Linked DNA regions of Saccharomyces cerevisiae S288C. The protein of the gene in region 1 interacts with the protein of each later gene in a biochemical or structural test. Each region holds a gene or a part of one and is shown in the gene's direction. Other genes may lie near its edges.

Region 1 (4,793 bases):
CGGCGATCCGTCCGCGGCATTGTTAGAAGTATTGGACCCTGAACAAAACAACAGCTTCTTGGATAACTACTTGGATATTCCTATTGACTTATCAAAAGTGCTTTTCGTTTGCACTGCTAACTCTTTGGAAACTATTCCAAGACCTTTACTGGATCGTATGGAAGTCATTGAGTTGACAGGATATGTTGCTGAAGACAAGGTTAAGATTGCCGAGCAGTATTTAGTTCCAAGTGCCAAGAAAAGCGCTGGTCTAGAAAACTCTCATGTTGATATGACAGAAGATGCAATAACAGCGTTAATGAAGTACTACTGTAGAGAAAGTGGTGTAAGGAATTTGAAAAAACACATCGAGAAAATATACCGTAAAGCAGCCCTACAAGTGGTAAAGAAGTTGAGTATTGAAGATTCCCCAACGTCATCAGCCGACAGCAAGCCTAAAGAAAGCGTTTCTTCCGAAGAAAAGGCGGAAAATAACGCCAAAAGCTCATCGGAGAAGACTAAGGACAATAATTCGGAAAAGACAAGCGATGACATTGAAGCCTTAAAGACCTCTGAAAAGATCAATGTTTCCATATCCCAGAAAAACCTAAAAGATTACGTTGGGCCTCCAGTCTACACTACAGACCGGTTATACGAAACAACTCCACCAGGGGTAGTTATGGGGTTGGCGTGGACTAATATGGGAGGTTGCTCACTTTATGTAGAATCTGTCCTTGAACAACCTTTACACAACTGCAAGCATCCAACATTTGAAAGGACCGGGCAACTGGGAGATGTTATGAAGGAATCATCAAGGCTTGCTTATTCATTCGCCAAGATGTATTTAGCACAAAAATTCCCTGAGAACAGATTTTTTGAAAAGGCGTCTATCCACTTGCATTGTCCTGAAGGTGCTACCCCTAAAGATGGTCCATCTGCAGGTGTCACTATGGCCACTTCCTTCCTTTCCCTAGCATTGAATAAGTCGATTGACCCAACGGTTGCGATGACCGGTGAATTGACACTTACCGGTAAAGTTTTACGTATCGGTGGGTTGAGAGAAAAAGCTGTGGCCGCTAAAAGATCTGGTGCCAAGACTATTATTTTCCCTAAAGATAACTTAAATGATTGGGAGGAACTTCCAGACAATGTAAAGGAAGGGTTGGAACCTTTAGCTGCTGATTGGTATAATGATATATTCCAAAAATTATTCAAGGATGTGAATACGAAAGAAGGTAATTCAGTATGGAAGGCTGAATTTGAGATTTTGGATGCTAAAAAGGAAAAGGACTAACTTTTCATCTAAATGGATTAAATACCTGTTTAAACATTCTGTAAATATTTAAACATAAACATCAATTTTATTACACAATACTAAATTCTTTCTTTTCTTCGTGAAGTATGTATGTGGGAAACCCAAGATGGCGGAATCGCGTGTAATATTATTTATCATATGCCTTTTTTAGGAAATCTAATTACTTACCGAAGAAAATAGGACAACGAAAAATTTCGAGAAACGAAACCAGAAAGTAAATGGTGAATATCCTATAATCTACACATTTTGGTACAGTTTACTTAATAATACTCCACACACCTCTTTGCCTCTTTTCTAAGAAGTATAACACAACTACAATATAAGTGATGTCTGATAATAGAAGACGTAGACGTGAGGAAGATGATTCGGACTCAGAAAATGAGCTACCGCCATCCTCACCTCAGCAACATTTTAGAGGGGGGATGAACCCAGTTTCATCACCTATTGGTTCTCCAGATATGATTAACCCTGAAGGTGACGATAATGAAGTTGACGATGTACCAGATATTGATGAAGTTGAAGAACAAATGAACGAAGTAGATTTGATGGACGATAATATGTATGAGGATTATGCGGCTGATCATAATAGAGATAGATATGATCCAGATCAAGTTGACGACAGGGAACAACAAGAACTATCTTTAAGCGAACGTCGCCGCATTGATGCTCAACTAAATGAAAGAGATAGGCTATTGAGAAATGTTGCCTACATAGATGACGAGGACGAAGAACAAGAAGGTGCAGCGCAACTTGATGAAATGGGCCTTCCTGTGCAAAGACGAAGAAGGAGAAGGCAGTATGAGGACTTAGAGAATAGTGATGACGATCTATTGAGTGACATGGACATTGACCCATTAAGAGAAGAACTTACTTTAGAATCTCTGAGTAACGTTAAGGCTAACAGTTACTCGGAATGGATAACACAACCTAATGTCTCAAGAACTATTGCCAGAGAGTTAAAATCATTCCTGCTGGAATATACAGATGAAACGGGTCGTTCTGTATATGGTGCACGTATTAGAACATTAGGTGAAATGAATTCTGAATCTTTGGAGGTTAATTATAGACACTTAGCGGAGTCCAAAGCCATCCTGGCACTATTTTTAGCTAAATGTCCAGAAGAAATGTTGAAAATATTCGATCTCGTGGCTATGGAGGCAACAGAATTGCATTACCCAGATTATGCCCGTATTCACTCCGAAATTCACGTAAGAATCTCTGATTTTCCAACAATATACAGTTTACGTGAATTGCGTGAGTCTAATTTGTCCTCTCTAGTACGCGTCACTGGGGTGGTGACAAGAAGAACAGGAGTCTTCCCTCAATTAAAATATGTCAAATTCAATTGTTTGAAATGTGGCTCCATTTTGGGCCCATTTTTTCAAGATTCTAATGAAGAAATTAGAATCTCATTCTGTACAAACTGCAAATCAAAAGGTCCCTTTAGAGTCAATGGAGAAAAAACTGTGTACCGAAATTATCAAAGGGTTACGCTCCAGGAAGCTCCCGGAACCGTTCCTCCAGGCCGTCTACCAAGACATAGAGAAGTCATTTTGTTGGCGGATTTGGTAGATGTATCCAAGCCAGGTGAAGAGGTAGAAGTTACCGGCATCTACAAAAATAACTACGATGGTAACTTGAATGCAAAGAACGGATTCCCCGTTTTTGCAACAATTATCGAGGCAAATTCTATAAAAAGAAGAGAGGGCAATACAGCTAACGAAGGCGAAGAAGGGTTGGATGTTTTCAGTTGGACTGAAGAAGAAGAACGTGAATTTAGAAAGATTTCTAGGGATCGTGGTATAATTGATAAAATTATATCATCGATGGCACCGTCTATCTATGGTCATAGAGATATTAAAACTGCAGTCGCGTGCTCATTATTTGGAGGTGTTCCAAAAAACGTCAATGGAAAACATTCTATTCGTGGTGATATCAATGTGTTATTATTAGGTGATCCAGGTACTGCCAAATCTCAAATCTTAAAATACGTCGAGAAAACAGCGCATAGAGCGGTCTTTGCAACTGGTCAGGGTGCTTCGGCTGTCGGTCTGACAGCATCCGTCAGAAAAGATCCTATTACTAAAGAATGGACCTTAGAAGGGGGGGCGCTAGTATTGGCTGATAAGGGTGTTTGTTTAATTGATGAATTCGATAAGATGAACGATCAGGATCGTACATCTATTCATGAGGCTATGGAACAGCAAAGTATTTCCATTTCCAAGGCCGGTATTGTTACTACATTACAAGCGCGCTGCTCAATTATTGCTGCGGCAAATCCTAATGGTGGTAGATATAATTCAACCTTGCCTTTAGCTCAGAATGTTAGTTTGACCGAGCCTATTCTGTCTAGATTTGATATTTTATGTGTTGTCAGAGACCTTGTTGATGAAGAGGCAGACGAAAGATTGGCCACATTTGTTGTCGATTCTCATGTAAGATCTCATCCAGAAAACGATGAAGATCGAGAAGGCGAAGAGCTTAAAAATAATGGCGAATCGGCGATAGAACAAGGAGAAGATGAAATAAATGAGCAGCTTAATGCAAGGCAAAGAAGACTTCAAAGACAAAGGAAGAAGGAGGAAGAGATCTCGCCTATTCCACAGGAATTATTGATGAAATATATTCACTATGCGAGGACAAAAATATACCCTAAATTGCATCAGATGGATATGGATAAGGTTAGCAGGGTATATGCGGATTTGAGAAGAGAAAGTATTTCTACAGGTTCGTTTCCAATCACAGTTCGTCATTTAGAATCTATTCTAAGAATTGCAGAATCTTTTGCTAAAATGAGATTATCTGAATTTGTGTCTTCTTATGATTTGGATAGAGCTATCAAAGTTGTAGTTGATTCCTTTGTTGATGCCCAAAAAGTCAGTGTTCGCCGCCAACTCCGCAGGTCTTTCGCAATTTATACCTTGGGTCACTAAAACTTTGTTATTCCTACGAATATCTGGATATGAAGATAAAAAATTCTCTGTCTCAATCCATGTATTGGCAATCCTATTTTCAATATACAAGTTTCCTTTATTTTTTGTATAATTTTTATACACTGTATCTTTAATTTCAATTCAACTAAATACTCAAGATCTAGTCAAAAGTGCATTATTTACTATCCAAAAAAAAAAAAAAAAATGAAGTAAAAAAGAAGTAACAAGACCGAATAAAAAAGGCTCATTACTGAAGTATTATATTCTTATTTTTGCCTTTTAATAATATACATTTACTTTACAGTGGAGGGGATAAGAAACATGATAACTATCAATTAGCAGCGCTAGGAGCTTCAGTAGAGGTTCCGGTAGTAGTTTCTGCGGGAGATTCAGTCGTTTCTTTTTCTTTTTCTTTTTCTTCAGCGCTTGGAGTAGCCTTGGCATTCGCATCAATACCAAAGATCCTATATAATAGCTCATGAGTATCTTCTTTACAAACCATCAAATTGATACACTTGTTGCCTTTCCACACAGGCAAGAATAAGTTTTCTTTGGCAGGGTCATTT
Region 2 (3,863 bases), on another chromosome or scaffold:
CCTTGTATTTTCTGGCACACTTGCTTATCACTTCTTTCACTAAAAATATAGTTTAACACTCCAAGAGGAATACCATCCCCAAGCGAGTTGATTGACTGCAAGTGTAATTAAATAGGTGGAAATTGCATGGTGCATATGCCAATGGCTAAGAAAAAATTACTCTTACAAAGATTATTTTGTCAATTTCTCGAAGAAAACAATGCTACATTTTGAAATAGGATTTTTTAAATCGTGACATGTGCTTTAATAGAAACGTCACTTCAGCTCTGTCATTACATAAGATTTAACATGAGCAAAAGGGCTATTTTGGATACGGTATGTCATTCCTTTCCCCTATTAAATATGAAGAACATATATTCTCAAGTTGATAGAAAATGCAGGAACAATACACAACTATTTACACATTATGCTTTCTCGATTCTCTGAAAATGAACTCCAGTATGGCAATTTGAGCGCAGCTCATTCCGATGATTAATAATATGCCGTAAATAGAAAACATTACAATTCTATGCTCTGTTGAACAAACGGTGTGATGATTTCTGGTGTTTCTGCTTTTATAGTACTGTATATTACGTTCCAAAACGTGGAGCTGCCTTTCTATGGTGTCTATAGAATTTTCCACACTGTCTTGCAAGGGATCGGTTTTAGAGTCTCTCAGGTTTCTCTGCGCCTTTCTCGCCTTGCGTCTTTCATTTCGAATATCATCTTGGCGTTCACAATTGTACTTGAAGTCCAGATCAACAATCTTGTCGTGTGCTTTACCACCATAAAAGCAGATAGCATATTCTCCCTTATGTTGGCCTATAAATGACCATTCACCTTGACGTTCACCAGATCTCTCGATTATTGGCTTGTTTTTGTCATCAGGAGCAAATATTTCGTAGTTAACATCAAAGTCATTGCTCTCTCCTTGCTGTACTGCAAAATAATATGAGATTGTACAGTCAATTTCCGGAGTTAGCGTATATAAGCACTCCTTTCGACCTTTATTCAGTTCAAATGTCAACGGTGATGCCTCAGCAAAAAATTGTGCTAAAAAAAAAAACTGGAAGAAAAGTACACATAAATTGGACATGACGGAGTTTTTTAGTCAGTTCACAGTGTCCCTTCAAGTACGGTAACTATCAAGAGCCTTACCAGTTTCTGTCAAGATATTGTCCCCCCAAATTCTTTCATTGAGGAGAGGATTATGAAGAACGCGTTCTGTTTTAAAGAGAGAAAAATTCAGGTCAGGACGCGTTGGTCTCACCTTTGTTGACATAATGACCATGACAGTGTAGGAAGTCTAAGTAGTATGTGGAAACCTACGCGATCATACTGATACGTTCGTAAACTTTATCAACGAACGACGCTTTTTTTTTAAACCTCTATATAAGCATGTTTTTAGCTTGGGAAATTAAGGTGTAGCCCTGGTTTTGAAGATAATTAAGAATCTAATGGGGCAATGCTTGTGTAGATGACATTTTATAGAGTAAAATTACTTCCCGTTTAGCTCGATAAACGCCTTAGGCCTACATAAATCTTAAACATTTGTCCCCGGTCAGCTTTTAAATTATGTCTTCTTTGCCCTGGGGCGTCTTCTTGAACGGCATCAATTTAGTGAGTAGAAGAGCACTTCACATTTCCGCCTAAAATCAATGCAAGAACCATTAACAAAAAAAACCGCTCAGCAGGCGTAACGGGAAGTAACAGACTACCTTAAATTTTCAATAACAATTGTGCTATTATCTAATTTTCTTAGGAAAGAGGCAGTTTCGAAGTAGAACAATCATAATGACAAGCAAAACGAAGAATATCGATGATATACCTCCAGAAATCAAAGAAGAGATGATACAGCTCTATCATGATCTACCGGGTATAGAAAATGAATATAAACTCATAGACAAGATCGGTGAGGGAACATTTTCGTCAGTGTATAAAGCCAAAGATATCACTGGGAAAATAACAAAAAAATTTGCATCACATTTTTGGAATTATGGTTCGAACTATGTTGCTTTGAAGAAAATATACGTTACCTCGTCACCGCAAAGAATTTATAATGAGCTCAACCTGCTGTACATAATGACGGGATCTTCGAGAGTAGCCCCTCTATGTGATGCAAAAAGGGTGCGAGATCAAGTCATTGCTGTTTTACCGTACTATCCCCACGAGGAGTTCCGAACTTTCTACAGGGATCTACCAATCAAGGGAATCAAGAAGTACATTTGGGAGCTACTAAGAGCATTGAAGTTTGTTCATTCGAAGGGAATTATTCATAGAGACATCAAACCGACAAATTTTTTATTTAATTTGGAATTGGGGCGTGGAGTGCTTGTTGATTTTGGTCTAGCCGAGGCTCAAATGGATTATAAAAGCATGATATCTAGTCAAAACGATTACGACAATTATGCAAATACAAACCATGATGGTGGATATTCAATGAGGAATCACGAACAATTTTGTCCATGCATTATGCGTAATCAATATTCTCCTAACTCACATAACCAAACACCTCCTATGGTCACCATACAAAATGGCAAGGTCGTCCACTTAAACAATGTAAATGGGGTGGATCTGACAAAGGGTTATCCTAAAAATGAAACGCGTAGAATTAAAAGGGCTAATAGAGCAGGGACTCGTGGATTTCGGGCACCAGAAGTGTTAATGAAGTGTGGGGCTCAAAGCACAAAGATTGATATATGGTCCGTAGGTGTTATTCTTTTAAGTCTTTTGGGCAGAAGATTTCCAATGTTCCAAAGTTTAGATGATGCGGATTCTTTGCTAGAGTTATGTACTATTTTTGGTTGGAAAGAATTAAGAAAATGCGCAGCGTTGCATGGATTGGGTTTCGAAGCTAGTGGGCTCATTTGGGATAAACCAAACGGATATTCTAATGGATTGAAGGAATTTGTTTATGATTTGCTTAATAAAGAATGTACCATAGGTACGTTCCCTGAGTACAGTGTTGCTTTTGAAACATTCGGATTTCTACAACAAGAATTACATGACAGGATGTCCATTGAACCTCAATTACCTGACCCCAAGACAAATATGGATGCTGTTGATGCCTATGAGTTGAAAAAGTATCAAGAAGAAATTTGGTCCGATCATTATTGGTGCTTCCAGGTTTTGGAACAATGCTTCGAAATGGATCCTCAAAAGCGTAGTTCAGCAGAAGATTTACTGAAAACCCCGTTTTTCAATGAATTGAATGAAAACACATATTTACTGGATGGCGAGAGTACTGACGAAGATGACGTTGTCAGCTCAAGCGAGGCAGATTTGCTCGATAAGGATGTTCTCCTAATATCTGAATAGCAAAGTGATAAATTACTGCTAGTCTGAAATAATTTCCTTTTCTTTGGAAAGAGAATTTTAAAAGTACTTACATATTTGCATAGTGAAAGATTTAAATAAAAATTTCTTAAAGTGAAACGGTTTAGCATAATTGGTGGCATGCGCTTAAGATAGTGCCAAATACCAAAAGGCACAGGTGCAGACGATACTTAAACAATAGTGCTACTACGCCACTTCGTGAAAGCTAATATCTCTTTACCTTGCATTTGGGCATGTTGCAAACAGGAGGATCAAAATACAAATGGAATCAAGAATGCTCTTCTGGTATGATACTTTTTGTTTTTCTTTTGAGCCCATGCGTACATTTGAGCTGTTGAAACAGTCAAAAATAAAACGGCAAATAAATTGAACTTGAACACAAAAGTAAACCAAATCCAAGACCAAACTTCAAAAGTATAGTTGGGAGCAACAAAAAGATTGAAAATACCTTGATTCAATGGGACACGGATCTTAGCGTTACCATGCTTCTTTTGATAGTCACCCCATAGGCGCAATTTAATGTGGCAATAAAAGTTCCATAGTTCTGA

What was found.
Region 2: of the proteins of MCM2 (region 1) and CDC7, one has a biochemical effect on the other in vitro, tested with the Saccharomyces cerevisiae proteins (14 studies listed by BioGRID).

Annotation. Positions count from the first base shown.
Region 1 is NC_001134.8:174,354-179,146, reverse strand, and holds MCM2 (MCM DNA helicase complex subunit MCM2), read left to right. Parts: upstream 1-1,620; coding exon 1,621-4,227; downstream 4,228-4,793. Other genes in the region: ATP-dependent Lon protease PIM1, read left to right, coding at 1-1,273; NCL1 (tRNA (cytosine-C5-)-methyltransferase), read right to left, coding at 4,559-4,793. UniProt on the Saccharomyces cerevisiae protein: Acts as a component of the MCM2-7 complex (MCM complex) which is the putative replicative helicase essential for 'once per cell cycle' DNA replication initiation and elongation in eukaryotic cells.
Region 2 is NC_001136.10:422,436-426,298, forward strand, and holds CDC7 (serine/threonine protein kinase CDC7), read left to right. Parts: upstream 1-1,773; coding exon 1,774-3,297; downstream 3,298-3,863. Other genes in the region: ERP3 (Erp3p), read right to left, coding at 398-1,075; trans-2-enoyl-CoA reductase (NADPH) TSC13, read right to left, coding at 3,567-3,863. UniProt on the Saccharomyces cerevisiae protein: Serine/threonine-protein kinase. Needed for the initiation of DNA synthesis during mitosis as well as for synaptonemal complex formation and commitment to recombination during meiosis. Required for HTA1-HTB1 locus transcription repression.